Linked DNA regions of Arabidopsis thaliana. The protein of the gene in region 1 interacts with the protein of each later gene in a pairwise test. Each region holds a gene or a part of one and is shown on either strand. Other genes may lie near its edges. The genes, in order: AT3G18250, AT5G19130, AT1G64150 and RPH1.

Evidence for each region.
Region 2: the proteins of AT3G18250 (region 1) and AT5G19130 interact in a protein complementation assay, tested with the Arabidopsis thaliana proteins (one large-scale study listed by BioGRID).
Region 3: the proteins of AT3G18250 (region 1) and AT1G64150 interact in a protein complementation assay, tested with the Arabidopsis thaliana proteins (one large-scale study listed by BioGRID).
Region 4: the proteins of AT3G18250 (region 1) and RPH1 interact in a protein complementation assay, tested with the Arabidopsis thaliana proteins (one large-scale study listed by BioGRID).

Annotation. Positions count from the first base shown.
Region 1 is NC_003074.8:6,256,186-6,261,859, forward strand, and holds AT3G18250 (Putative membrane lipoprotein), read right to left. Parts: upstream 2,242-5,674; 5' UTR 2,223-2,241; coding exon 1,992-2,222; 3' UTR 1,875-1,991; downstream 1-1,874. Other genes in the region: AT3G18240 (Ribosomal protein S24/S35), read left to right, coding at 90-491, 818-1,232, 1,309-1,510; AT3G18260 (Reticulon family protein), read right to left, coding at 4,143-4,312, 4,405-4,474, 4,576-4,717, 4,839-5,019, 5,205-5,319.
Region 2 is NC_003076.8:6,414,365-6,422,673, reverse strand, and holds AT5G19130 (GPI transamidase component family protein / Gaa1-like family protein), read left to right. Parts: upstream 1-3,561; 5' UTR 3,562-3,680; coding exon 3,681-3,802; intron 3,803-3,898; coding exon 3,899-3,990; intron 3,991-4,186; coding exon 4,187-4,286; intron 4,287-4,422; coding exon 4,423-5,230; intron 5,231-5,367; coding exon 5,368-5,501; intron 5,502-5,702; coding exon 5,703-6,546; 3' UTR 6,547-6,754; downstream 6,755-8,309. Other genes in the region: AT5G19120 (Eukaryotic aspartyl protease family protein), read right to left, coding at 6,929-8,089.
Region 3 is NC_003070.9:23,806,986-23,816,367, forward strand, and holds AT1G64150 (Uncharacterized protein family (UPF0016)), read right to left. Parts: upstream 5,741-9,382; 5' UTR 5,595-5,740; coding exon 5,425-5,594; intron 5,328-5,424; coding exon 5,243-5,327; intron 5,007-5,242; coding exon 4,779-5,006; intron 4,682-4,778; coding exon 4,628-4,681; intron 4,535-4,627; coding exon 4,473-4,534; intron 4,361-4,472; coding exon 4,292-4,360; intron 4,214-4,291; coding exon 4,162-4,213; intron 3,779-4,161; coding exon 3,707-3,778; intron 3,620-3,706; coding exon 3,490-3,619; intron 3,401-3,489; coding exon 3,330-3,400; intron 3,141-3,329; coding exon 3,093-3,140; intron 2,134-3,092; coding exon 2,062-2,133; 3' UTR 1,850-2,061; downstream 1-1,849. Other genes in the region: DIR5 (Disease resistance-responsive (dirigent-like protein) family protein), read left to right, coding at 7,078-7,626; CHX16 (cation/H+ exchanger 16), read right to left, coding at 8,254-9,382. UniProt on the Arabidopsis thaliana protein: Mn(2+)/H(+) exchanger, which transport Mn(2+)from the chloroplast stroma into the acidic thylakoid lumen. Might be a chloroplast-localized Ca(2+)/H(+) antiporter. Regulates Ca(2+), Mn(2+) and pH homeostasis. Required for chloroplast development.
Region 4 is NC_003071.7:19,659,126-19,665,713, reverse strand, and holds RPH1 (resistance to phytophthora 1), read right to left. Parts: upstream 2,898-6,588; 5' UTR 2,852-2,897; coding exon 2,666-2,851; intron 2,520-2,665; coding exon 2,309-2,519; intron 2,227-2,308; coding exon 2,045-2,226; intron 1,968-2,044; coding exon 1,941-1,967; 3' UTR 1,812-1,940; downstream 1-1,811. Other genes in the region: AT2G48080 (oxidoreductase, 2OG-Fe(II) oxygenase family protein), read left to right, coding at 1-103, 174-522; AT2G48075 (uncharacterized protein), read left to right, coding at 1,092-1,571; AT2G48060 (piezo-type mechanosensitive ion channel component), read left to right, coding at 3,328-3,376, 3,699-3,779, 4,038-4,197, 4,283-4,440, 4,555-4,711, 4,796-4,982, 5,254-5,369, 5,772-5,856 and 2 more. UniProt on the Arabidopsis thaliana protein: Plays a positive role in the immune response to the oomycetes P.brassicae, including induced oxidative burst (e.g. H(2)O(2)) and enhanced expression of defense-related genes.

The DNA.
Region 1 (5,674 bases):
GATTCGTAGCTTCTTATCTCATGAACTAGTAGAATAGCTGTAGGTAATCGTTTGAAATTGACTTCATTTATTGGATTTTGTGGTCTCAGAGCTTAAAAGCCGTATAGAGAAGTATTTCAATGAGGGTAATGAAGATGCTTTACCCGGAGTTATTGAAGCACTTCTACAGAGAAGACTTGTAGACAAACACGCAGAGACTGATGATGAATTGTTGGAAAAAATCGAGTCTCTACCTTTCAAAGATGATGTCAAGGATGAAGATTTTGAATCCGATTTCGAGGAAGCACATTCTACTGACGAAGAACTTGAGGATTTGTACAATTCTCCCGAGTATGTAGCTGAAAAGATGAGGAAGAATGAGTTTTTCAACATGGATGATAAGAAGTGGGATCACATGATTAGAGAAGGTATCCAACATGGGTGTCTTACTGATACTAAAGAATGCGAGGAGATTCTTGAGGATATGCTCAAATGGGACCAGCTTCTTCCTGGTAATGGCTCGTTTATTTTCAATCTTCCCGTTCATCGACTCACATCCTTAGACATAGATTAGGTTGATTAATAGACTAATGTGCGTCGTTATAGCTAAACACAATCTCTTCGTGGAACTTAGCTTTTGTAGTTAACCTTTCTATTTGGATTTTTCTGAATCATGGTATGAGAAGTTGAGAACCATTCGTTTTTTTAACTCGTAGAAGGTAATGTACTATGCCAGATATGTTACTTCTCGGATCAGTAGGGCCGTTTAGAGAATATATTGGTTTGTTCCTGTGATGCGTACATATGAACATTTCTCTAACTGTGTATGTTCATTCAGATGACTTGAAGAAAAAGGTTGAAGCAAAGTTTAATGAGCTTGGAGATATGTGTGAAAGAGGTGAAATTGAGGCTGAAGCAGCTTATGAGCTTTTTAAGGAATTTGAAGATGAGATGGTAATTCAGTATGGGGATCAGATGGAAGCTGAGGGTCCTCCCCAATTTGGTGAAACAGATGCTTCCGATAGGAATACTGACTTGGATGATCCCCCTGGTAAAGGCCCAATCCTCAGGTGGCAATCAAGGATAGTTTTTGCTCCTGGAGGTGATGCGTGGCATCCAAAGAACAGGAAAGTTAAAATGTCTGTTACAGTGAAAGAGCTTGGGCTCTCAAAGCATCAGGCTAAAAGGCTAAGGGAACTTGTAGGGAAAAGATACCATTCGGGGAAAGACGAGCTTACAATCACCAGCGAGAGGTATATATAACTATAAATCTTAAGCTTTTCGTGAGACAAGAATGTTGAATCATGAAATGTTTTTGTCCTGTCACAGGTTTGAACACCGAGAGGAAAACAGGAAAGACTGCTTAAGAACTCTTTACGGGTTGATAGAAGAAGCTGGGAAAGCCAACAAGATCGCTGAAGACATAAGAACTTCATATGTAAAACAAAGACTCCGTGCCAATCCAGCTTTTATGCAGAAACTACAAGCCAAGATCATAAGGTCTAAAGAATCAGATGCCATCAACGCTTGAACAAAACTTTTCCCGGTTAGCGCCTTTCTTGTCTCACCAAATAATCTGTAGGATCGTCTTCTTTTGGCAATCATTTGATCCGTTATGGCTTTTCAGATCCATGAAGAATCTTTGATGGTAACTCCTATCTTAGTTTGGTTTGCTTGTTGTATCTCATGAAGACATGAACCTTGGCTGTGCTGTTGGTGTCTATTAGAGACTAGTTAACGTTTTCTCAGAATTATGAATCTCTCCTAAAGTTAAGGTTTCAGATATGTTTACGGGTTCAGAATGAAAGTAACCAAAGGAAAGAATTGGTACAATTTTTGTTTGGGTTTTGTATCAGATGTCTTTCTAATTTTTAAAGAAATTCAATCAGTAAGATAAGAAATGGAAACTAAATAAATTATTGCTTCAATATACGATAGCTATACATCTATAAACGAAAGTAAAATGGTCGGACTGTTCTGTTTATATTTTCCTGACGAAGAAAAATGAAATCTCAACCTCCACAACCACCACCGCAACCGGCACCGCCACAACCTCCGCCACCGGTAGAGGTGCCTGAAGTGGCTCTGTTGTCGGAGACTCCGTCGGCACAAGAGAATAACAGAGCGGAGAGGATACAACAACCGATCACAGCCAGGAACACAACATGAAACAGGTAACTAGCATCGAAATGTGTTGTTGTGGTGGCCATGCTCATTACATCTTCTAATAAGTGTCTCGCCATCTCTCTTTCTCTAGTTAATGTGGATGAGATTAAGTTGTTTAACGTGAAAAGCTTTCCTACTTATAGCCGATAAATTCGTACGTAAGGCCACTGACTTTTGATAAATTATTCGTTCAGTAGTAAGATTTCTTTGTAATTAAATTTTTCTTTTTAAGAAAAGAAGACTTATTTGTTAAAATATAGAAAAGACTGCAATACAAGACTTACCAGAAAGTCATCCATTTTAGTCTACTATTCTCCTCCTCTCAACTAAACACATTTGACTGCGGAATTTTGATGGAATCACGTATATTAGATGAAGATAGGACCCGGTTTATAATAATTTCTAGTTGAAGATTATGTTTCTTTAAAAATATAAAACTTGTAATTCGAAAGGCTAGGCTAATTTTATAGGTCAAGATTATATTATGCTTTTAAAGAAATTTAAAGTTCAATATTTGATAAATTACATACATAGTTCTAGTTAAGGTTTTGTCGAGGAAGTTTAGTTGAAGATAAGGATTTTTGACCATTTACATTAGCGTGAGAAAAGTCAAATGCCATAATATAATTATCATTAATCATAATGTATAAATCAGCTTGAATTGCCTCGTCTTTTTAAAAAAATTATAAATATTGAAGTGATTGTTCATGGCCTTTGTTAAATCCAATAAAAATACAGAGATTTTGTACTGTTTAGTTATTTATCATTGGTTATCATTGATTGTTCATAACTTTATGCATGAGAAGCTATTAAGTCTCTCTCTTCTATTTCACGTGGACTCCATTTTTGTTGTTGGTCCAAATTTGACTATGCAAAATCAAATTCTTATCAAAGGACTTTCGACGTAACCCAATGTTCTTCCCTTTTTTCTTTTGGCGTCTTATTCTTCTACCACTAACCAAATTTAATTCATCATGGATTATGTAATTTCGTAATCTAAAAGCTTCCGAAACATTTGACCAAACAAGAATATATAACTCCGTAATATATATTTTTATTTATGTATACAACTGCCAAAAAATACCAAACTTCCATTTTTTACCAAAAAAATATCAATTTTTTTATTTTATAAGTATCTAACTTTCTAACAAAACTTATAAAATACTTTACGTCCATACCACATATTTTGACGTACGCAGTTTGAACTAGCTAGGTGTGAGCATCGATTTTTGGGTATAGTATGTTTCAGATTTTTGGAAAAATTAAAGTTCCTTAATAAAAAGGAAGATTGAAAAATGTGTTAGAATAGTCGATGTTAAGCGAGAGAGAAATTGTAGGTTAAAACAAAAGTGAAAAGTCTAACTCCACTTATTATTAACATTGTCATTTTCAAAATAACAAAATATCTCTTTGACAATTTTGTAGAACAATTGGTATCTATTTTAGACAAAGTTTGGTTTGGACAAAAAACGAAAATTTGGTATTTTGTTTTGTATTTTTTCCCATACATGTAAACAAACGTACGTATCTTGATATTTATCCGACCACTTTCGCTTTCGATTTAGTGTTTATTTATTTTATTTTTATAGAAGAAAATTATTATTGAAAAAAAAATAGCTCGGTTTTGGCAAATCTTAACGTTATAACAGGTTTTAGGAATGTGATGGTGATATAATGTGCAACAGATTTGCAGCGATGTGCTGATGATACCCGCTTTTCAAGTGATTTGGTCGATTTATAGTTTATTATTATACTCATCAAGGTTAAAACTAGACCAATATCATTAATTGGAGAAAGTTACCATAAACAAGTTCTTGTTAATTATTTCCCTAGAGGCTTGATTTTCACAATTTCACATCATTATTCCATTTGATGATGATTATCAGATCTTAACTTCTTCTTCTTCTTTTAACAGATATGTATATTAATTTGGGTTGATGAGGTCGCATAAATACAGTAGCAAACACATTATCTCTATAAGTAAAGAATGATCAGAATTAAGTAAATTTCTTGTTTTTGACAGTTCCTCTTGGGATTTTACTAAGAACATTCGTATCGACTTTCTTGTACAGCTTCTTCATCTTCCTCATCAACTTACCCGCCGCTGTATCCACGTCGTCCTCGTACATCTCATACATAACCGGTAAGGTTTGCATGCTTACAAACCCTGAACGACACGACGTCCATTAATTCCGTTAATTAATAAAAGGGAATTAAATCTACATATATAGTTGAGTATCATGACTTAATTCTTCTTACCTATGAAGAGAAGATTCACAAAGTTGAAATATGTCCCGATGATGGATACGATATAAAGCGAGATCGTTGTCTGGAAATATAGTAACCAATTTAAGCAAAATAATAATGAATCCAAAGTTATATATATATATATATATAAGTGGAAAATTATTATTCTATATAATATCTTACGAGAAAAAAGAGAGGAGGATCTCTTCCACAAGCAACGTCAAGAAGCTTTGTGAGGATTTGGTTGAATCTAACATGGAAGCTTCTTGCTAATTGTTTGAAAGAAGATTCGTCTAGTACAACTTCTGGTATTAGTGGTCTTTCCCTGCAATTTTGTTTATTTAATTGTCGTTTTATTGGTAAGGAAATCTTGTAATTTGTATATTTTTAACCAATTGATCATGAGAAATTGAAAAAAGATTAATCAAGTAAAGATATAAACATACCAATTGAGAAAATCAGAAGCAGTAGACCAAATGAAGAAAAAAAGCATGGAGGTCATGGAAGCATGACAAATTAGGGTTATGAAATTGTATTCCACTACTTCCATTAAGAACCATAAGATGCTCACTCCTATCACCAATGTTGCTGCTATTTTCGGCTCTCTCCATAACAGAATATCCGCAACTGTTAATCACGAATGCAAGTTGTTAAAATTTAGTGTTTGTCTACATTATAATTTTGGTGATAATTTTGGATAATAGCAAAATAAAATGTGATATTTGAAGAGAATTGATGGATATAAACATGTACTTTCACACACGCATACCGATTGAACCGATATAAAGTTTGAAAGAGAGTGAGACAAATACCTTTACCACCTCCAAATATAGAGTGAATAGATCGTTGACGAGTGAAGAGCTTAGTTGTTTTATGGATCGTTCTTTCGTCTTCAGAATCGGAGGACGATCCCGTAAATATTGGCATGGTTGGATCAAATTTATTAAGATAAAAGTTACTGCGGTAAGAAACAACAATGAAATGAATGTAATCACTATGTAAAATAGTTGATTTGGATTAGGAGAAAATGTGAAAAGCAACAAATATAAGAAGAAAGAAGAAGAGATAGGTTCTAGGCTTGGGAACAAAGGTAACAAAAACATATTCAAGAAGCAAAGAATGGGAATGGTTTTGACCTTGTTCCTTCTCCCATTTATTTCTTCATCTTCATGTCTCAATAAACTATTCAAACCCCTCACGTACGTTGCATATATTTTAACTGAGTGTTATCTTCCCGGTATAAGTGAAGACCCGAAGATCTGGTCTAAACCGTAGCAATTTG
Region 2 (8,309 bases), on another chromosome or scaffold:
ATAAGCATATTTTAAACTATTTTTTTATAAATTTTGCTTTTAAAAATACAAATAAATAAATAGTTTTTATAAATTCATAAGGGTCAATTAACCCCCTTGCTATGCATGTATCTCTGCCCCTGATTGTTTACCCTTTATAAGAAAACCAGCAAAAAATCATAACTGAAACTAAATATGTAATTAACAGGTGGGAAACATAACTTGTAGGGTGTGAATAAAGGGTACAGTATATGATTTTTTTCTTTTTGGGGCAAATATGATTTTTTTTTTATCCATTGAAAAATCTATTTATACAAGTTATGATTTTTCTTAATCCATCGATATTTTCTTTGAAAAAAATCTGTCTATTTAAACATAAATAAAACGTTGACAAAAATTTAATTGGTGATAATTTTTTTCGAAAAGAGAAACAAATCTGTCAATTAAATCAAGCGGATGTGTCACCACTTTCTTTCTATTTTCTCATTTAAATCACCAACCATTACTAGAGAAATTATATTTGTCTTAGAGTGTTTTTTTTTTTTTTTTGACAATCGATCTTAAGAGTGTTTCAAAACCAGTATACATATTTGTTTTTCTAGTTTTTTCTAACAAAAGCATACTCTCTAACTATTTGTATAATTATTATCCCATGCTTTAAAATAGTATTATTATAGTTTGAAAAAAATATCATATGTGTTTTTTATGAGCCAATGAACTAGGAGGGAGGGAGAGATTGTGATCTGAAAGCAACTTGAACCTAATTTAAATGGACATTTATCATCAACGATTGGTTTGTAGTATCATCAACTTTATGAATCTTTCTTTTCTTACATAAATTAACTTCATCCAGAGAATAAGATTTGTCAGATAAACAATAAACCTCTTTTAGAAAAATAAAATACAACAGCAACGTGATCCAAATATTTCTGTGTATATCAGTATATAATTAAAAACGAATTAGTACGATGATTGTTGGATCTTGCCATCTTGGGTATCTATATGTAATAATTGGCTGCATGCTGATCATAATTAAAAAATTTAAAATCAAAATTTTCGTCCTTGAGAAGAACTTATTCAATTTCGTTTGCCCATTTGTGAAACTAGAGATTCAAAACCATGTCCTACGTAATTTAATCAATAATTTGAAGTTTTTGTAATAATATTTTCAACTGGAAATGTAAAGAAAGAATACTAGACGAACAGTCGACGCCCGTTGTTTATGTTTCGGGGTTTGGCCCACGGTCTTCATATTTCATATCAGCCAACTTTAGACTGTTCATATTGTTTGTTCCGAATTACATAACCTAAATAAACTATTGAATTCCAAGGAAGAAAGTAAGCCTTTATTTGAACAGAAAGATGGTTGAGTTGCTGAAGATTTTCGACCATTTGTTAAGAAAAATATCACACACACACAAAAAGGGAAAACCATAAAATAATACATAAATGGTTTGGTGACAACAACCTAGAAATGTATAAGATAAAAAAGACCTATACTATTTCGTGCCAAATATCAGAGACCACAAGGTAGACCAACATAAATGTTAAAAATGTATAGTTTGAGGTTGTTGAGTTAATTGGATTTCTTATTCAAAACAATTTGATAATGAATAAATTGATTTTATGTTTTTTTTTATAATAGATGTAAATTTTAACATGCACACTTTGAGAAAATTGTTTTTAAAACTTTGTTAAACAAAATAACTGATTTATGTTTTATCCGACCCATGTAAAATCGTTTTTATCGGTCGAATCAAACAGAACAAAAAAAATTCCTTTTTCGCGGTTACTGTAGATTAAACTGCATATATTAAATACCATAACTTAACTGCTTTAGCTATTGAACCACGTCTATGGATGATTTTAGATTTTGATTATCATGTATATATTATGTTTTTGACTTTTCTATAGAATTTAAACTATATTAAAATCATATACACAAAAAAATAAAACGCAATATTGATCAATAATATAACGTAAATTGAATAGCAAAACAGTGAATGGCATATTTGTATTGATATTATAAACGTCATTATCATTTTATTAAATTGTAAAATAAAATACAGCCACTAGTTTGTATTATTTACTTATTTATTCAAAATACAATCGTAGAAAACAGAAAGAAAGACCGAGCAAAGCCAACCATGGGCCTGGGAGTGGGAACTACAAAAGCTGAAAACGACTTTGATATTGTTTTGCTTATTATCTTTTACAAATATTATTTCAAAGAAAATTATCTCATTTGAACATGACATATAGAAGATTTTTTTGTTGCCACATACCATTATCCAAACATAATGAATGGTATTAACTATTTATATATACATTTTTGCAGCCACTTTATGAAATAAATTTTAAAGTTGGGATTTATTTACAGCGGCTGTCACTGGCATTTAATAATTGTTTTTGATAATTAGAAAGAAAATCTTCTAATTAAATATTTGACATTTAACAATCTTCCCAAAATCTCTCTACCTTAACTACACGATTAATTACTAAAATAAAACTTCTAAAATATTTAATATCATTTAATTACTACAAAATTATCATTTTTGATATTTTTTCTCCATGATTATAATCATCAAACCGTATAGATATTTGATAGCATTTAATTACTATAAAATTACAAAATATTTAGACAATAATTCATAAACATATCATAAATAAGATCAACATTAATAAAATAAATGAGTTTTTTTTAGAGGACGGGTTGGCGAGACGGGTTTGGCAGGACGTTACTTAATAAAAATTGTAAACTATACAATAAAAACATTTTATAAATAGATACAATTTACAAACTTTTATATATATATTAATTTAAAAAAATAAATTGTTTTCACGGTATACCGCGGGTAAAAATCTAGTTACGTTATATATCTATATTTCATATATTTCTCTAAGAAAGAATCCTCTAGAAAATGTTTGTTGAAAAATGATTTCTTCATATCAAAACTATGATATTCTCGCGTTTTAAAAGCAATATGATGTATATGTGGTCGATCTAGAGGCTTCAGTATCATTCAAATGAACAAATTTGTTATTGGACCATCTCAATCACCTAAGCTTCGATCATCTCTAATCTCTATGCATCCCCACAAACACTTCCTATGCAGCTGTATATATCTTTTTTTTTCTTTTTTCTTGATATTCTTTTTTGGTTTCGGATCATATCATGACTTTTCATTATTTCTTTTGGCAGTTTCTCTTCTTTTTTGCTTTTCTTTGATGCGATAATATGGACTGCACTGTATAGCCCACTATTTCATGTTCCCATCTTGCTATGATGTAATAGCAAAAATACCATATACTGGTCATTTATAATAATAAATATTTAAAAAAATCTATAACAGTCAATGGATAATAACATAATTGTAAAAGTGTTTCTTCATTTTAAAATAAGATACAAATTAAGAACACTGATATTATCCATTTTATTTTTAAAATTAAGAACAAATATAAATATACTTTTGTAATCAAAATAACAATTATATTTGGTATGTAAGAAAATTCTGCACCATCTTAATCTGACTTTAAGCCCATCACCCAAATAAAAGTCCATTACAAAGCCTTCTAAATTTAAGCCCACCCACCCTATTCGGGCTGACCCGACTTGACCGTCGTCTACAATTCCCAAGCCACGGAGATCACAGTTCGTCGTAGGTTCGAATCTGCCGAAATTGATCGAAGATCTGTGAATCATGGCAGCGGTGAACCGGGATAATGAAGAGGAAGTGAAGACCGATGATGGATCTCCTAAAATCAAACCGAGACCAATCGTTCGGCTCGGAATCTTCCTCATCGCTCACAGTCCTGTTTTCAGGTAAATCTTCAACCATAATTTTCTCTTCTACTCCACTAGTTTCTATGTTTTGATTCTTTCTCTTTTGGTTCATTGATGATCTGATTGTGTTTGTAGTGTGGTTTTCTCTGCTGCTGGGGTTTTGGCGCTGCTGCTTTTGCCTCTACTGGCAAAGAACACTTACATCTCCGAGAATGCTCTAATGCCAGGTTTTGTTACATACCTTAGAATTCAATTAAAGTCCACATTTGGATACTGTACATGTTAACCTGGAATTAGTGTTCTATACGATTGGAATCTGTAGAAGGGTTTAAAACTGTTGAGTCATGTGAGTTTATGGCTTGCCAACTTTGAATGCGTTGTTGTTTGGTGTTTTACACTTTCTATTTTGACTCTAATCCTCAGGCTCTGCACGGTCTATGCTCTCTAATCGAGATGTTTCTGATGGAAGCAAACTGGTGAAGGACATAAAGAACTTTAGGTTGAATCATGAAGGCCAGGGTGTGTATGTCTTTTCTTCCCTCAGTTTTCGCATGAAATAGAGCTTTCTCCTACGTTATGAAGAATTTTACTTGTCCTTCTGTTTTGGTCCTAGCCCAAGTAACTTAATGTTTCTCCATTTGTGTGATTTTTCTTTCTAGTGAAGTCCAAAAGCTCATTGGAAAATACATGTCAGATATGGGTGCAGAAGTTTCTTATCAAAAGTTCCATCCTGAAGGGAATCAATTTCACCCCCTGCACTTTTTCTCCGGTCCAGATTCATATACATTGCTGGAGAATGTCAGTTGTGCTTCTTATGGGGTCAATGTTGCGGGGATTATAAGAGCCCCTCGTGGTGATGGAAAAGAGTCTATTGTGCTGGTTACTCCCTATGATTTTATAAATGGTGGAGACTATGAGGATTTGTCTTTAGGAATTGTCAGTTCTCTTTTTTCCTTGCTCTCTAGAGTTACCTGGCTTTCCAAAGACATAATATGGCTTGTCGCTGATTCTCGTTATGGAGACTATAGGCCTGTTGCTGCGTGGTTAACTGAATACCACTCACCTTCATTTAAGGTCTCGGATCTTCTGAAGTGTGACGAGCAAAATACAGCTGATAACTTCAGACGAGCTGGAACAATGGCTGCTGCTTTGGTTTTGAAGGTTGATGGTAGAAGTGAAAAGTTTGAGGACACACTAAGTATCTATGCAGAGGCATCTAATGGGCAGATGCCAAATCTCGACCTCATCAATGTTGTAAATTACTTAGCGGTGCACAGGCAGGGGTTTTATGTCAAGGTTGAGAAGGTTGTATCTTTACTTTCCTCTAGTTGGCTAAAGATTTTTGGGGAAATATTTGAAGCTGTTGGGAAATTGGCGCATATGTTAAATCCGGACTGGAATTTTGGTATCCCAGCTGCAGACTATCTTGAAGGCAGTGCTACCCTTGCAAGTTCACTGTACTCCCAGGTAAAATGTACAACTGATCTGTCCTTAATTAAGTTCTTGGCATCTTGTGGTTGCAGTCACACTGATACATTTTAACTAGGAAAGACCTTGAAAGCTGACAGAAAATGTTTCTTTCTTTTGTTATTCATTCTCATCAGGCCCTTGGTATCCCAACTGGTCCCCATGGAGCTTTCCGCGATTATCAAGTTGATGCTATAACTTTGAAAGTTTCACCTAGATTTCCTCCTGACAGTAAGACAAGACAACACGATTTCTTTCTACGAGGTGCCCGGTGAGTTTTTGTTTTTATATTTTCATTCGTTCCCATTTTATACCGTTTACCTACCTCTGCTAGTGTATGTGCATTTTGTAATGCTAAAGTACTACAATATATCATTTATGCTACAGTGGAATTTAAGAGTTTTAATGTTTTCTACTCATTGACTCTGTATGAGTGTTCGATGATAACTCTGTGCTTTCTCTTTAAACGCAGGTTACTGGAAGGAACTATAAGATCAGTGAACAACCTCCTTGAGAAGTTCCATCAATCGTTTTTCCTTTACATGTTAACTTCGCCAAGCAAATTTATCTCTGTAGGAGTCTACATGATTGCCTTTGCTCTTCTTGTTGCCCCTCTTCCAATGGTCGCAGCCTCTTTATACATCGATGGCTGTAAATCTCTTACCAATTCCACTCATAACCCAACCGAAAACTTCAAGTCTTGGAAATGGCTAGATGCAGCGAAACAGGTCTTTACTTTGCACTTGTTGGGTTTCATTGTCACGCTGCTACCTTATTTCATCTGTCAAGTACCGGGCCAACATTCTCCAACAAACCGCTCCATCATGTGGGGCACTACCTCTTCGTCGCTTCTCCTTATAACCTTTGTCACAATGCCTGGTTGCTCTCCGTTCTCCTCTCGACTCCATGGAACCAACTGGGCCATCTTGAAATCAGTGACCATCTCAGCTGCCTTCATCGGCCTATGCCTCATGTCCATAATCAATTTTGCCACCGCAGAGATTGGAGCGTTGCTACTAGTGCCAACGTGTCTTATGGCTCAGCCTATAAAACCCGCTTTGAGATCCAGACGCCTTAAGAGCCTGTTGGGTGCGTTTTGCAGTATTGTATTGCTGACAATCGGGTTCCCGGTCATGTTTTTTGCAATCTCTAAAGGGTTGCTTGGAGAAGGCCTCGTAGGGTTGAGTCTTGGAGGAGAGTTTTGGACATGGTTAGAGTCGCTTTGGGCGTGGAAGAGTGCAACATATCTATACATAGGTATGGTTCATCTTCCTTGCTGGCTCCTTTGCCTCTGCATCTTGTTTCATCCTTCTTAATTCTTATTTTACGTCCCAATCTCCATACAAGGAAGGTCACAGTTATTTCCTTTACTTCGGTGACAGTTGTCCACACTTGTTGGAATTTGTCATATGTTCTAGTTGTCGCATGGTAATTAGCAGTTAGAGGTCTGATGTATCGTTAGAAAACTAAAAATGCGATGAATGAGTGAAGTTTCTGTTTTTTGTATTGATTTTTAGTTTTAAGCACTGTATTTTTACTTCATTTAAGTAATAGCTGTTTCTTAAATTAGATCTATTAGTTGTACAAATGCATGATTGCTTGTAGCAGGTATTGTAAGAAAAGAGTACACTCAAAAGAGATCAAAATTGAGGATATCTACCAGATAATTAGAAGGTTACAATTACAAAGGTTTCTGTATTACAACGAAGTTGAATCAGAGCGTGTTCTTTGTCCAAAGCCCATCATTGAGTTACCCAAATCAAAGTCCAATATAAAGCCTTCTAATTGTAGCCCACCCATTACAATCGGGTTGACTCGACTTGACCCGCCGTCAACAATCCCCGAGCATCGGACTCCACCACCAACATCCACCATCAGATTCTTCCCATGAATCCTCCACCGCACCATCTCACTCTGCAACGCTAGATCTACCGCCGGAAAATCTACGTCACTAGTGAAGCAGAGCCCAAACGGTGCGACAGGAGGCACCGATGTAGCTTCACCCGCAGCTTTGGCGTAAGCTTCCGCGAACACCTTGTAGATCGAGCTCTCTAAAATCGTGTAAGGAACCACCGTGCTCAGCTCCACCGCCAACGGACCTTCCACGGAGAGCTTTTCCCCGTTGACTCTAATCGATTTCACGTTAATTACGTAGTTGCCACTCGAACCGGTTAACAAAGGCGTGTAAACCAGCGATCTAGACGCAGCCACTCCAAAAACCTCCTCCACCGAACTCGTTGATACGACACCGTTCAACGGCGACAGGTAAACAGTTAACCGACGACGTTCGTTAGTTTCCGCGGCGAGTTGTGAAGGGAGTGAGATTTGGGCCCTTCCTAAGCCCATTACTCCTTGGGCTCCACTAGCGAGCCCACGTAACAGCCACGGTGGAGTACAAGCGAAAAGTAGATCAACGGTTCCCGGAGAAGTAACAGAGCCAACCGACATGACGTCACTGAAAAGCTCTCCTCTCGCCGTAATCCCAAAGGCGTCGTTTTTAACAAGTAATTCGCAATCGGCGTTTTGGTCTTTACGCGATGATGATGATGATGATACTCGTTCATTTCCAACTTTTGCCTTTAAGCAGCCGCTAGAGCTACCGGATATTAGGTTCCTTGACGAGGAAACATGTCTTGAGGAACAATCAAACCAGAGAATTGAGCCGGCCAGATCGACTACGAGCTTGACTGGATCCGGTGAGTCACCGAGTCGAATCTGTGCGAGGTATTGACCGGTTGGAAGGTCTTTAACAACAGGGAAAACGACCCCGTTAACGGAATCAGAGATCTGAGATTTAGAAATGATTAGAGCGGAGAGAAAAGAGAAGAAGAAGAGATTCAAACAAGAAGAAGAAGCCATTAGAAGTGTGTGTGATGAGTTTTAGAGGAAGGAAATGGATCTGGACGGTTTTTAAGGATTAAGCGTTATGGTTTGGGATGCGGTGGGCCGACGCTGGTTTATTGTGAATGTGAAAAAACTGAAACGATAAGGATTGGTTCATTTTAAGGTAAGTGCTGAGTAGACTTGTTGTGTCGTTTCGCTCTTTGGTGGGGACTTTTTCTTTTCTTTTTATTTTGTT
Region 3 (9,382 bases), on another chromosome or scaffold:
CTCAATCTCTCTCTCTCTCTATCAATAAGCGAAATTGAGTACTTGGGGCTCTACAAATGTTTTGGGTGTGATTGAAAAACCTAGGGATTTGCAGCGCCGGCGAGAGAGATCGAGAGAGGTATAAATAGGAGAGGAGAGAGAGAGGCTTTTTTTTTTGAAGGGAGTGGAAATGATATCGAATCTGAAAGGAGAGGTGAGGAGGATAAAAAAACCAAGGGTAAGACGACTGGTTTGCCACACGTGCCATCAGAATCTTTTGCACGTGCCACTTATACCCTTTTAATATTTTTTTTATGTTTTTGTATTGACTGACTATTGATCATAAGTATAAGCTACAAACACATTAATCAATTCATTAAACAGAGAACACATAAATTCATTTTTACGCACCAGCTAAATTTAATCAAAAATAAAATGAAGTATTTGACTGCCAAACATGATATGTCCTCCACTTCCTGATAATCAAATTTATCCTACCATAAATTTATATTAAGTTTGATTAATGGTATTTTTTTATCAATAACATTGTACTCTGTTATGCAGATTTGAGTACAGATAATGATATTAATATTAAGAGTTTAATTAGGATACGTATGGTTTAAACGAAGCCAAGATTGTTTGTGGCGGTTGGAAGCATCAGCAGCAAAGAAAAAACGAAGGGGTAATTTGGTGCGTGGCGGCTGAAGCAGCAGCGGCTCGTCACCGTTCAATTTGGTTTTGTGATTATGACTGTGGTCCCCACATGCGTCTTTTATGGGTCCCGCACGATTCCCCTCGGGAAGGTCTTCTACAAATCTACGACAGCGTAATTTTTTGCGATTTTTGTTTTTAATTTTTCAAAAATATATAAACCGACGTCGTTTCTTGGTTTTTTTTTGGCTATCGCTGTCCTTAGTAGGAAACCTAAAAAGGGTCCACGTACGATAAAAGAGTGGTTCACGTTTGCAAATGCAGCAATTTCGTTAGATTTTGTTTTTACTTTTTCTAGGTCAATTGTATTATTTAGATTCTCTAATTCCTTTTTTAGATTTCTATTTACTTCAAAACTACTAGTAGTATTCAATTTCGTAAAAGTACGTTAAATACCATTTATATGTCAGGTAAATAATCGCTTTGCGTAATTCAACATGCAGGTGAAATTTCCCCCAACTTTAAAATCAAATCACTAAATATTGAGTTAAAGGTGTATATTGTAGAACAAATTAATATTTTTGAAGATAACTGCTGAAGTTTATGTCACTGTGATATACTATTATTTATCAAGAACAAAAAAATGCTCCAATATTATATAGGTGTAGTCATTGTGTAGAAAAGGTATTATTAAGCAAGATATTTCGGTCAATTAATTTTAAAAAATTTGTGTCTTCAGAAACTTTGAAATATGCCTTTTCAAAACCAATGATTTTTAAAGTTATTTTTACAATATATCCAAACTACTATTTATGTAGGTGCATCAGTGCATGCTTATTTTGCACAATATATAGCTTTACTTCTGTAATCCTTTTTAAAAAAGAAAAATCACCTTGGCCCTTGCTTAATATTGAAACTAAAACCATTTAAAAAAAAAATACCAAAACAATTTACACCTTACTATAAAAGAAAGGAGATGGTATTATCTTCCTATTTCTCATGTCGGTGTAACAACTCCTTTGGCCTTTGTGAGTGGAACTCATAAATTTATAACTTTTTCATATAATTTTAATTCACATGCACGATTATAGTATTTAAATACACATTTGTACATGAAGAATATAGAAAAGAATATGCTCTACCATGTTCAACCTCTTTTTAGTCTTTATATTCTTTCCAGTCCCGAACACGTGTTATGTTTGGACGCATCTTTCAAAACATAACATATTACCTATCTTGACATCTAAGTAAATTCTAACCACTAAAAACCAAATGTGGTAGTAAACGTTAACGTATGAGAACTGTAAAATCCACATTATAATTTGCAGAAAAACAGTTGAAAATAAACAATATACTAATATTTTACAAAAATAAAATTAAACTTGAATATGTTTGTACAAGAAGGTATAGAAAAAATATATTTTTCGGTACTTACGTAACGATCTCAGCCACCGTCACAGCAGCAAACACGAGAAACAGAACTCCTCCGACATAAGCAATTGCCTGTTTCGAACCAAACGACATGTAAACATTTCCGTCTTTAGAACACACTCTCTCTCCCAAAATTGTTTTTTAAATAGTCTAAACTTTAGATCAAAACAATAAAAAAAATGGTCTTAAATCTTTATAAATTAAATTGTAAGCCTACTATCAAGTCATAAAAGCTAAAATCTAAGCCTTAAACCATAAAACATAAATCATGAACCTTAAAACCTAAAGAAAATTATAGTATATACTTGTGATTTAATTTTTATTTCCGCGGCTAGTTTCATTAGTTTGGGAATAATAACGCGTTGTTGACAGATTGGATCGGACATAGGAAAGAATAAAAACAATAAAAGATGTTATTTTGACTCTTTTTTGGGGAGGAATAGATACCAAGTGATGTGGAAGACTTGAGATCAATGAACATAGAAGCTTGTTTTTGCCACTTGCCCAAAGAATAAAAACCTTAATCTCTCACTTTTCTTTCTATCATGTTAAATCTCAGAACACAATACGAGATTAAAAATTATATCCTTTGACTAACTAAAACAAAACTCAAAAAGGTGGTTTGGAACTTTTAAAACCATGATTAAAGCTAGTAATTTGCCATTAGTATCTCGTTTTTGTGTAATAAAAGCTGAATATATCCTAGGATATGCTGGCATTTAGTATATTCACCCTAAATTTTCATGATAATCTAAGGACATGGATTTGTTTCATATTTCATTAATTGTTTTCTACTTTTTTAATGCAACCATTAAAGTTTTATTCTTCTTAACCTTTTACTTGGTCAGGATGCAGGTTAAGACATGTAACAAAAATCTAAACCTGACACTATAAATGAAAAAGGAGTATTCTTCAAGTGCTTTTGTGAAATAATGATTTTCTAAAATTGATTTGATCTATATAAAGTATAAACATGTATATACTGTCTATGTGTATGTATATAGAGATAGATAAAGAACGGAATTAGTTACCTTCTCTGATAAGAAATTTCCTAGCAAAGAACCGCCCAATACTGCAAGCTGCGATTAACAAACCAAGCTGCAAGTTAGAGTTCTTGTGTCTTCCAAGTTTCAGGAGAATTGAAAAAATCTTTTCTTTGATGGGGTTTTAAGTCTTAATAGTACTTAAAGATACTTTTGACTAGCCCAAATAGCTAGGATCTTTAAAGTGTTCACATAGAAGTTTCAATCAAAAGATAAAGAACTCACAAGAGTCGCAGCACCGTGACCCGCCAACGCTCCAGCGATGACACCCAATGGTGATGATGCAGCCGCAAGAGCTTCAAAGAATTAGAAGATTATATACACTTTTGGAGTTTTGGACCTGAGGTTTTGATTTATCATGAAATTTGAACTTTTTGAGTCTCACCAATTGTTGAGAAGAAGGATTTGTCACCCCATTCCGCAACAAAAACCAATGCGAAAGTGCTGATGATGGTGTTCGCGGCTGCTACTATCCCGGCTCCATTACCTGAAAGCTCTGAAACCGCTAGTTCTGCCTGTAGATAATAAGTAAATAAATATTGACTTCTTGAAGGTTGCATGGAAATATACAAAGAGTGAACGAAAGGCTAAAGAGGTTTTACTTCTTTCTGTTCTTCGTCAGCTTTACCCTCGTCTGAAACAGCATCTAATAACGTTGAAACACCGAAGTACACCTAAATGTAACAAAAGTGGTTAATACTGTTTCATGGTTAAGACTATGCTCTGTACAATATGATCCAACCCAAAATGAACCATAAACCAGGCTTGAAAACCAATCAACATCTTCATTGTTAGACCAGTAACTTTTTCTACATAAAAATCCAAACCCAATAGAGCCTGAAACTTATAAACTTCATGACAATTTTAAGACCCTTCGAATCGAAAACTGAACCAAAACCAAAACAAAACTCATAACAAAAGGGTTACAGCTACATTTGGTTTCACTTGGTAGACATCATATACTTAGGAAGATATACTTGCTAGACATAAGAAAGGTCCAAACCAAGCACCCGTGGTTAGTACGACTCTGCTAAGAAAGGTGAATAAAGAGATTTACCAGAAGACAAACTGCTGCAATATCATCTATAGGCAAATCGGTTCCACCAAACCTGTGTTCTCAAGCATTGACGTTCAGCATCATCATGGAACTTAAACCTGCTTAATAATTTTTGCCAGAATACTCAAACCTGAATGGAAGAACTTCATCGACATAGTGGAAAGTGCGTCCAAGCACTACAGATATTATCGTCATTATCCTGCAAAATTACCAAGTTTTATAACGTTGCTCTACAGATTTCAAAGTAACATTTGGTTTCAGACAAGATTCACGGACCATAATAACGCCTCTGTTTGAGAAAGAAAGCATACCCTAGAGCGCCAAAAGTCCCCACGAATACGGTAGCAGCAGAGTTCCTTGCTGCTAAAAGGGCCTAACCAACAAACATGAAAACTTATCACAATCAACAGAATCATTGATGACAAAGAGAGTTTCTAAAGCGTAGATTAACATCTCAAGATCATACCGCAATGAAGAAAGTCTTGTCTCCAAGTTCAGAGAAAAAGATAAGCAAGAAAGCCTACACAGACATAGACAGAGCAAAAAATAAAATTTAAGAGTACTGGAATTGAAGAAGAGATAGTTCCCGGTTCTGTGCAAAAGGAAGATTCTCTAACCGAAGCAAAACCTGAGCTAATATCTCCAAGGTCTCCAAAAGAAGTGACAAGTGACTGTGTCACATTGGGAATTGACGAAGCTGCAAAAGCTGGATCAGTGCCTAGTAATGCAACCGAACCTGATACCGCCAAGAACATAAGAACTCTCTGAATCTCTCTTCTTGAGTGAGCTATCGATGACTCAACCAGAACATCAAGATTTCTATCATGCTCTTCAGACTCAGCTTTCTGAACAAAGCAAACACAACAACTTATTCAGCTTATGCATTTAAACACATTCTCTCCACTATTGTTCAACCTTAAAATCAATCATCATTATAATAAACCTACATTACCATTTTAGGTAAATCCACACAGAACAAGCAATTCAGAAATCTCCTCTAGGCCTTAACAGAATCTCATCTAAAAAAATTCAAAAATCTACCAAAAGAAGATTGGTGGAAGGTAACAAAAATCAGAATCACCTCGAGGTAACAAGCCGCATCGTTTCGTTGGAAGCATCGAAAACCTAGCTGCTGAGATTCATTTCGACGCAATTGAGTCAAACATCTGCACAGAATTGTGAAAAGACGTAAACTCCTACATGGCTACATTCCATTCGCATAGCAAATTCAAAAGCCGATGAACAATCAATTATCAAATTTACCTAGAAAAGTATTGATTACGAACCGAAAACCCGATCGGAATTGGATAAGCGGAGACGCATCTCCTCGACGATGAGGAAGGAGAAGAAGAAGTAGAAGAAAAATCGGATTTGGGAGGCCTAGGGTTCTGGAATGGAATGCGAAGCGACTCCGAGAGATTCAAACTTAGCATTTCTTTCCTGAGGATTTTGTATTTCGCTTCTTCTTCTTCTTCACAGTGTGATTCTTCTTTACTGCGAGCAAAAAACCTTTGGCTCTGTGTTGTTCTGAGAAGATAGTGAAAAAAATCCACAAAACTAGAGTTATTCGCGCGCGTCCACGTAGTAACAGCGCACGTGTGGGAAAAACTCAAGCAACTGTTGAATACACGTGACGAGTTTCGAGCCTATATATCATATTGGGCCAACAATAGGCCCGTTTTCGTTAAAATGCCTTCGCAGATAAGGCTTTTTAGGACAAACTATTTTAGTATTTTTCTTTTCCTTCGTTTGTTATCATCTTCACAGTTTGTCAACATTCAACAATTTGTCTTTTTGTTTACTATTGTTCTGCTTTTCTTTTGTTTCACGATATTATTTTTTAAAATGTGAATAGTTATGTCACATTTGAAATTCTGCAACTTGATTTGCTTTATTGGCTGCCGAATGCCAATGTTCTATTAAGTCGGCGAAAGCTTAGCTTAATTAAAAAAAAATTGATGATAAAACGGTTACTTTTACAAATGGACTAGATTATCATTAAGAAAAAAACATGTTTGGTATGCAAATTATATTAGCCATAGGGTACTTAACAAACTAAAATTAAAATTTTCAACGTGACTTTTACCAATAAAATAGATGACTCTACTTTTAGTTATAGAAAAAAATGATATGATTTATATATAATAAAATAAAATAAAATCTATAACGATACTTTTTAGCATCATGCTAATGGTCAGTGGCAGTTTGACATAAATTCATGTAAAATTATAAGTTATTGGAAAAACTCCTCATGCTCTTTAGTTTTTATTATTAGTGCTCCACCAACCCATCATTAAAAGGCCAAATTACATATATTAGTAGTTCTGAAAGACTATACATATATATATTATTAATGTCCTAAATTTAGACGAACAAGTAGATTATTCATTGATTCAATATATATGATTTAAAGCCATGAATTGCATATTTAACCGATTTAATATCTCTTCTGCTTTTGAATTTGTGCTGTTTTAGATATTATTGATGAATTCGTGCAACTCCAGCTTAAGGTATGTACAAGCTTTAAGCTTATGTAGTCTTAAATCAAATATGTATTATATATACTAATTTGTTTTAGTACTTCATTCGTGTTATTTTTAACGATTTCTCCACTACTATAACATTTTGTGGAAAGTTTTGAAAGGTGATTGAGCCGCCTACATGGAAAACTTTCAGATATTCATGGTAAATGATCTCACTTTATACACATCAACAAAACTTATCACCAACCTAATATAAATAAATATATAAACAAGAAACAAGAGAGAAGAAGTGAGCTAGTCCACTTTGTTTATACTTAATATTAACACGGACTAGTAACCCAAGTTGTATATAAACCCATCACTCCTTCTTTGTCAATCTCACTCTCTCATTATCCACTCTCACATTTTCATTTAAAACACACATATTTTCAATATGGTAGGCCAAATGAAATCGTTTCTCTTCTTATTCGTTTTCCTTGTTCTAACAAAAACCGTCATATCAGCTAGAAAACCATCCAAATCGCAACCAAAACCGTGCAAAAACTTTGTCCTCTACTACCACGACATAATGTTCGGTGTCGACGACGTGCAAAACGCGACTTCTGCAGCAGTTACCAACCCACCGGGCCTCGGGAATTTCAAATTCGGGAAACTCGTTATCTTCGACGATCCTATGACCATAGACAAAAACTTTCAGTCCGAACCTGTGGCAAGAGCTCAAGGGTTCTATTTCTACGACATGAAGAATGACTACAATGCATGGTTCGCGTACACACTTGTGTTCAACTCGACTCAACACAAAGGGACGTTGAACATAATGGGAGCAGATCTCATGATGGTGCAGAGTAGAGATTTGTCTGTTGTCGGAGGGACAGGTGATTTTTTCATGTCTCGAGGGATTGTTACGTTTGAGACCGATACCTTTGAAGGTGCTAAGTATTTTAGGGTCAAGATGGATATCAAACTCTATGAATGTTACTAAAAGAGACCATTAAATGGTTCCAGAGACAGAGAGAAAGAGAAAGAGGCTGAGTCCTTTGAAACTTTTTGATAATTTAATAAGTTTAAAAGGTGTGTAACAATCTTATATTGGAATTTTATGTTTTCTGTTCGATATGTGGTTTGATAATTATGTAGTATATGATTTGTTATGTCATGTGTTGTTTGACAAACCAAACACAGTGTTATACAATATCAGATTTTGATTACTACTGAAATTTCAATCTAGCTTTATAATGGACACATGCATGGGATGATAGTAAATTGAGTAGGAAAAAATATTTCTACAACACCACTAGTCAATATAATTGTAGTATCTAAAATTACTATATGAAGTATTCCTTTGAAAAAAGGATCGACTTACCAAAATATAAATATCTTTGGTCAAAATTTTGAACTCTTAACAACTTGAATAATCTATCCATCAAATCATATGTTTTAAGGATATGATATAATCAGTGACTCAAATTCATAAATATGTTTTATCTTACAAATTCATAAAAAGGGGAGTCGTTTGATTCATGCATGTTGATACATAAGAGTGTTTCGTGTTATCCATCATGGTTTGTGCTTCAAGGTAAAGAAAACACAATCCTCTGTTTCCAGATTTTCATGGCGTCTCCACCACCGGGACAGAGACGGAACCCACCACAGAAGGACCTTTCCCGGTGTATTGTTGAACCACCAAAACAGACACTGAAGTAGAAATCTCATTTGACACGATCAAGTTTCCGACCGGTCCCAGTTCTGGACACTCTATCTTCATAACCGGTAATCTTGAAACCATAGGTCCTTTGGAAGATTTTCCCACCAATAAAATATCGCACTCGTAAAATTGGCGGATAATCTCAACCACTTCCTCCGTTGAATTCACCGTCCTCTCTTCAAATCTAGCTGCATTGGCCCTTTTCTTGATTGCTGCAAGGAATTGCTCGTCTAAGGAACATAGTGATGTTTCTTGCGCTTCAAGCCTATCAAACCTTGCGCTCTCCGGACCAGAGATAACCACAACGGTCAAGTTAACGCCCGGATGTTCAGCCATTCGTAACCCGTAAACCAAAGCTTCACGATCATCGCAACCGCCAAAGAACAGAACATTGACGGAAAGTGAAAAGTTGCTCGAAGCTACCGGAGAATTGTTGTCGCCGAGACCACGATCAACCAAAATTCCAACAGAACACGGTGAATTCTCAAGAACTCTTTTGTTAATCCCCTGATACTCCGATCTCACCGTTTCAAATTCTTTCTCCAGAGATCTCCATTGCTTATGGAACGGCAAAATCACAAACGCTGTGCATTTACTATCAGCAGAGCTACATATATCCTCATGAATTGTTGACAACGGTGAAATCGCGGTCACAGAACGCACCGAAACGCTACTTAGCTTACTAGACGCCTCGAACGCGACCGTAACGGCACTAGAATTCTCTCTTTTCTTGTTCCAAAAGGGCAAACCGTTGCTTCTCACCTTTTGAACCATTCGAATAGAAGAAGGTCTCTCGGAGAGTTGAGTTAAATGCATAACGTAAACGCAAAATCTTTCTTTGGTTTCGTTGCTTCCACGAGTAGCTTCCATTATTTTCATCATGGGATCAATATCTTTACTGCTTTGAAGACATACCAAAACCTTAAGCTGCTGCATCTTCTCGCCTTCTTCATCATTCTCAATCTTGCGTCTATGTTTGCGGTTCTTGTAGCTGACGCTACTATGTGTTTGTGTTGTCTCGCTTGGTTTGTAT
Region 4 (6,588 bases), on another chromosome or scaffold:
CCACTCTTGTCTTGTCTGAATCAACCATGGTGTTTGGGCACAGACTCGGGGTCGATAACGATGGCAACTTCAGAGGCTCACTCACTCTCCCACTTAAGGAAGGGTAATGGAAACACTCCCCCGATGTTGATTGTATCCGAGTTTTCTTTCTAATCAGAAAATGAATCTCGCAGGTCGTTGCTGGTGATGAGGGGTAACAGTGCAGATATGGCTAGGCATGTAATGTGTCCCTCGCCCAACAAAAGAGTCGCAATCACCTTCTTCAAACTCAAACCGGACTCCGGTAAGGTCCAGCCGCCGCCCACCCTATGGAGACCAGGCACCCCTTCTCCTCTGGTGATGCTAGCTCCGGCGCCCAAGAGGCTAGACGCTGGCACTGGAGTTTTCTTGCCGTGGACACCGCCAGTGTCAAGAAAACCAGCCAAGCATCTCCCGCCGCGTGTCCAGAGGCTGCGTCTCTTGTCATCATCAAAGTCAGTGGCAGATAGTGAGTCATCGTCGCCAGAGATAGGAGTGAGTTGAGTTGGAAAGTGTCACACACGGAAGCTCTTTCTTTTTCCTTTACTTTTTTTTTTTAAAGCAGAGTCTTTTGGTTGTACACTTGAGAGTTTAGTGGGTTTTTCTTGTTTCTTCCTAACATTTTGCTTTCCTTTTATTTGGTCAATTTTATAGAACGAAGATTAGGGTATTATGCTACATCATCTACTGTTGTTACATGATTCACTATTTGTATTAAAAATCTTTAGGATATGCCCCACCACTTGCCATTAATTTCAAATATCTTCAGCTTCAATCAAGAAAAGAGGAAACTTGATTGATACAAATATTCCTGAAACTGCTTCTCAGTTAAAGTAAAAGAGGATGAAGAAGGAAGCAGAGAGATTCTGGTTTTCTTCTTCTTTTATTGGATAAAACGACACATAGCTTCCACTGGCTCAATTTCCCCATCTAACAAAAGCGTAGAATCAAAGCAAACCCGATATACCACTACTCATTTCTTCATATACACCAAAACCACTCCTCAAGCACAATAATCCTGGAGAGAAAAGAAAAATACCTTTCTGTTTCTGCAGTCTTCTTTTTGACAGAGAATGCACATAAGAGAGGATGATGACAGCATCAGCTCTCTGCGGCCTCGGGGCATTTGCCGTCGGCTGTTTCGATTTGTGGTGGCTAAACTATGGATATTAGGAGACAAAGAGATGAATGAAGATAAGCCTGAGAGGAACAAACTGATCAAGAAGGGATCAATGTCTGACATCACTATTCATTTCAAGCAATTAGAAGACTCGGAGGATAACAATTCCCCTGCCTCGTCAAGTCCAGAATCAGAGAGAGAGACAATGATTACACTAGTTAATGGTAGTAACGGCCCAAAGAAGAGGTTACAGGAGAACGGGGAAAAGAGCATGCTGGGTGAGCCCAGCCCTAAGCAACAAATCACTCAGCCTGAAGCAGGGAAACCACCACAGCCTCATAGACGCCTGGGGCCCCTACTAAATGATATAAATAAGAAATCAGATGCTTTTATCGAAAGTACACTCGAGAAGATGAGGAAAGGCTTAGCCTAGAACTAAACACATGAGCCTCCTTCTTCTCTCGCTTTCTCTGTCGAATAGAAGAACCAACAGACACTGGGATGCAAGAATTATCTATATACTCAATTCTTTTACTTTGTTTAAATTTACCAGCTGCATTCTTGATAACAAAACGTATATGTACTCCCACTTGTATTTTGAACAATAATTCATCTCAGAACTTTAAGATTTACAAGAAATATTCCTTAAGGGGCTAGTTCATATATCATTCTAGAGCAATGTTCACATTCATTTGCCTTAAACCCACGTACCTAACACGATAAGCTGAATGAAGTACCATTCTAAGGAAGAAAAGACAAAGAATCTTCATGCTCTAATCCCATCATGATTCACGAGTAGTCCCTACTCTGTTCTTTCCAGCCATCCAAGCTGAAGTAAGAGGCAAAAAGTGAAAAAAATAATCTGAGCAAGCACATATAACTATATAAGCGCCCCTCAATAATTACCATTCGACATACCTTCCAGGCATACATAGCAAAGAAGGCAACCGTGTCAGCAGACCAGACAAGAGCAAATGATTTCCAAAAGAAGGGAATAGCAACATTGAGCAAGGGGACGATGAGAAAGAGGTAGTTAAGAGCCTCTTTCTCTTTACTTGGACAGTCTCGTGCCCGAAGAGAAGGAATAGCTGGAAAGAAAGTAAAGGATTAGGGGCAAAAATGCAGCCTTGGAATAAATAAAGTTAGAAGAAAGTAGAGAAGGAGACATACTGAACATCCAAATGGACCACATGCCCATCAACCTCCATAAATCAGGTTCGCTGGAGGGAAAGAGGAGGTTGAAAGAAAGGACACCTCCGAGGAACATCGATGCATAGCCTTGAACCTCAAAAACTTTGTAAAGAGTAGTTCCAGGGAGAGCAGGGTTTTTACTGGCGGTGGAAGCTCTAGGGGCAAAGGTTGCAGCAGTCTTGTTAACAACCTGCTTGAATTGAAAAGTCATAAGCTTGAGCAACTCTTTCAACAGGTTCAAGCACTAGAGACCAATCTAACATGGTGCATTTTCATTTTCATGTCTTCCTATGGTTTCAACAGAAAAATCGTAAATGATATAGAAAAAAGGCGGACCTTTTTCAAGTCTTTACCGAGAGCAGAGGATGAGGAAGGGAGAGGAGATTCCGGCGGGTCGTCCTTGGGTTCTAATCCGTCAGAGGTGGCGAAAATACGGAAGGTGGATCTTCTTCTATGGCGAAAGCCATAAGTGAGAGCTATGGAAGAGGAGACCCCATGGGTGCTGCAGAGAGACCAACTCATTCTCTCCTCCAATAATCGCGATAAGGAAGAAGAAACTTGTTGGCTTTATTGAACCGGTCCAATTCTCAACCGAACTCCGGTATTCCAAATTAAAAGCCAGCAATCAATAATTGAATCTCGAGCCCACGACGGTTTGATTGGTTTAGCCATTTCTCGGCGCTAAATATAATTTATTAAAATGATGATTATTGCGAGAAGAAAAGATCTTTCTTTGATTTTTGCTTGTGGATTTGGATTTCCAGTTTCCAATTCTCTCAAATTTGCAATCCACCTTCAAATTCACACACATCTTCAACAGCTACCTTTTCGGGAACTTGCTAGAATTCGTGAGAATTGGAAATTTTTATCCTCCGTTTTAGTCTCCGGCGGGCTGATTTCGTTGGCCTTTTGGAAGAAATTGAGGTCGGAGCTAGAGAGGGGATCTATTGAATTCGATGAGAATTGGGATATGGTGATCGTTAAGACAAAAGTTTCCAATGGCGAGTTTTTTGGTGGGCTTCTTGTTGCCTTCGCTTCTTCTGGCAGGTTGGTTTCTTTCTCTATCTTCTTGCTTGCAATAATAATAATAAAAAAATCCTTACTTTGCTAGTCCTCTTCAATCAACAGAGTCCTCCTCTTTGTCTCATGGGATATCTTGAGCTTCACTCATTTACTCCTTAACATTGTACCTACTCTATTAAGGTTCCTTTATTAAGTTTTACTAGTTTAAACGACCCTGGTGTTTTTATGTCAAAACATTGGTATCATATCTCTTGTTATTGCTATCTCCATTCTCTACCACACCGTAGCTTGTACTTTTTTCGCTTGAGCTTCTATTTTCCTAATATATTTTTCTCTTCTCTCACAGCTGCACTTATTAACTGGAGTGTCATATCCTTTCTTGATTTGATAGCTTTCCTCCTCGTTCACTATATTGCACCTGAAATTGGTAAGCCTGTTTTCCCTCTAATCAAAAGAAATACCCCAATGTTTCTGCTGTAGTACATGTTTCTTGGAATCTTTGATTTGGGGTTTAGGTGTGAAAGGATTCATCTAGTTTATGCCCAACATCTACATTAGCCTGGAGAAACAGAAAAAAAAAAAAGAGAGTCTATTATTCTCAGTTTTCGTCGCTTTTTTCAGTTACGGTTGATTAGCTGATGTTTACTTTCTCAAACTTACTTTGGTTCTTGCTTTATTTTGCCAGGATACCGTTTTCAGAGGAGGCATTGGCTATTATGGCCCATTTTCATCTTTTCCTTTGCAGTATTTCTTGCTCAAGTGGTCTACCTTGTCATTTGGGCTGCTCTAGGTCAAGACTGGGATACACCAGATACTGGCTGGATGAGAGTTATTGGCTTTATGATGTAAGAGTACTCTCATCATTTCATTCATCTTCCTGCCTTACAAATATTTACTTGTTAGTTGATACTCTCGTCTTTGCTTCTGCAGATTAAAGTCTTGGAGAAACCCCACCGTTATGTATTTCCTGGCTTTACAACTACTAACATCATTGGTTGCTTTAGCTGACATATACAGTAGTAGATTCGGCTTCGCTAGATGGCGGGACACATGGTGGTCTCACTTCTCAGGAATTTTCGAACACCTAGGTTTGTAATTAATGTACTAGGCCCATACGGCTTGTCCAAATACTTACTGTAACGTTTTCTCATCATGTGTTCATCTGGTCTTGGTTTGACGTTATCTCCTCCTTTATTACTCAGGAAGTCATCTTAGGGTTGCCTCCTGCTTGTTGTTACCAGCAGTTCAATTGGCAGTGGGAATCTGCAATCCATCATGGGTTTCTTTGCCATTTTTTATTGGAAGCTGTGCCGGTCTTGTGGACTGGTCCTTGACAAGCAATGTTTCAGGACTTTTCAGGTGGATAGATTATTGATTATTACGCAAAGTTAGCACTTCCAAACCCTGCTTCTCTGAAATCTAGTCGTTTTTTGTCTGGTTAAGGTGGTGGAGAGTTCTTTATATCTACGCAGGATTCAACATTGTCCTGCTTTACCTCTATCAACTACCAATAAACTTTTCCGATATGATTCGTTGGATAGCAAGCTTTATAGGTCTATTCAGAATCTCCCTGGAAACTGAAGGCCCTGATATTTGTTCTGGTCTTTTCCTTGTGTTGTTCTACATCATGGTATGTCTTTTGTTTTTCGAGGATTAGTATTACTTGGTCTCACTCAAGTGTAAAATGATAAACTATATTACTGAACCATATAATTGATGAACTGTTTCTCAAAACAACTGTCAATATGTGGTGACCGTGTTTGGGGAGTTGGTTATGAACACCAACAGCCAGTGTAGTTTTTCCTTCAAGTGAACTGACTTACCCGCCTTAATCTGTTAACGAGCTACCACTATGTTATACCTGTAACAGTCTTGACATGCCTGTCGTTCTGCTATTGCAGCTATCCTATGTAAGGTCAGACCTCGAGGATATGGACTTTATCATGTCCACGAGTGAAAATAACTTGGCAGAGCGGCTTCTTCCTCCAAAATATTCATTTTTTATTCGAGAATCAAGGTATTCTATATAGATTTTTGTTTAGTTTCTTCCTACTGGGAGCTGTTGTGGTTTTAACATAGTATATCAGTTTTTCAAGGGAAATTTTAGTTTTTCTGTTTAATTTTTTCTTACTTATGTTAATTAATTTATGGTTGAATATGCTCAAAGAATTGTGTTCAAGGGTCGGCACTACCAAACGTGGAAGCCTAAACACTGGACAGTTTTATGAACACAAAGTTGTGATTGGTTTCTCTGCTAATAGAAACTATGGGGTTGGGTAAAGATTAGTACTCCCTTACAGAGTACAACTAGTTCACACATTCTAATGGATGTTCTCTTGGCTGGGCTGTACAAGATTAGCATTGTAGATGGATAATAGTTACACTCAACTTAATGTGTTAATTTTTTCCAAATTTTCAGGGCCGGTGTCAGGCACACCAATGTTTTACTGAGGGGAGCTGTGTTTAAGACTTTCAGTATTAATTTCTTCACATATGGTTTTCCGGTATATATTTGTATCCCTGGTATTAAAGTGTATGTGTCAGCTAAAGCAACATAATGTGTCAGAAACTCACACTCTTTTTATTTGCGTTCATGATTGCCAGGTCTCTCTATTTGCTCTTTCGTTCTGGAGTTTTCACTTTGCGAGCTTGTGTGCTTTTGGCCTCCTTGCATATGTTGGTTACATTATTTATGCCTTCCCGTCATTGTTCCAGTTGCACAGATTAAATGGCCTTCTTCTCGTATTTATACTCTTATGGGCTGTCAGTACGTATATATTCAATGTGGCCTTTTCTTTTCTGAACACTAAGGTTGGAAAGGTAATATATTCTCGATGCGCAAAATCTTCAACTACTTTAAGAAAACTAAGATGTAAATTAACAACTAGTGTCTTAAATATACAGGACATGCAAATTTGGGAGATGGTGGGACTTTGGCATTATACTATACCTGGATTCTTTTTGCTTGCACAGTTTGGTTTGGGGATGTTGGTCGCGTTGGGTAATCTTGTAAACAATTCTGTTTTTCTGTACCTGTCTGAAGAGAGCTCCAGATCTTCCAATGAGAGATCTTACGTTGAAGGTAATTGCCTCATATTCGGTTCTGCAAAGCAAGTTATCTGATGTTTTCCAACTTCCAGGGTTGTCGGAACTGTAAAGTTGAGAAAATGGGTGTACTTGTTTATCGCGATCAACCTATCATCTTTTCTGACTGAAACCATCTAAAGACAATTAAA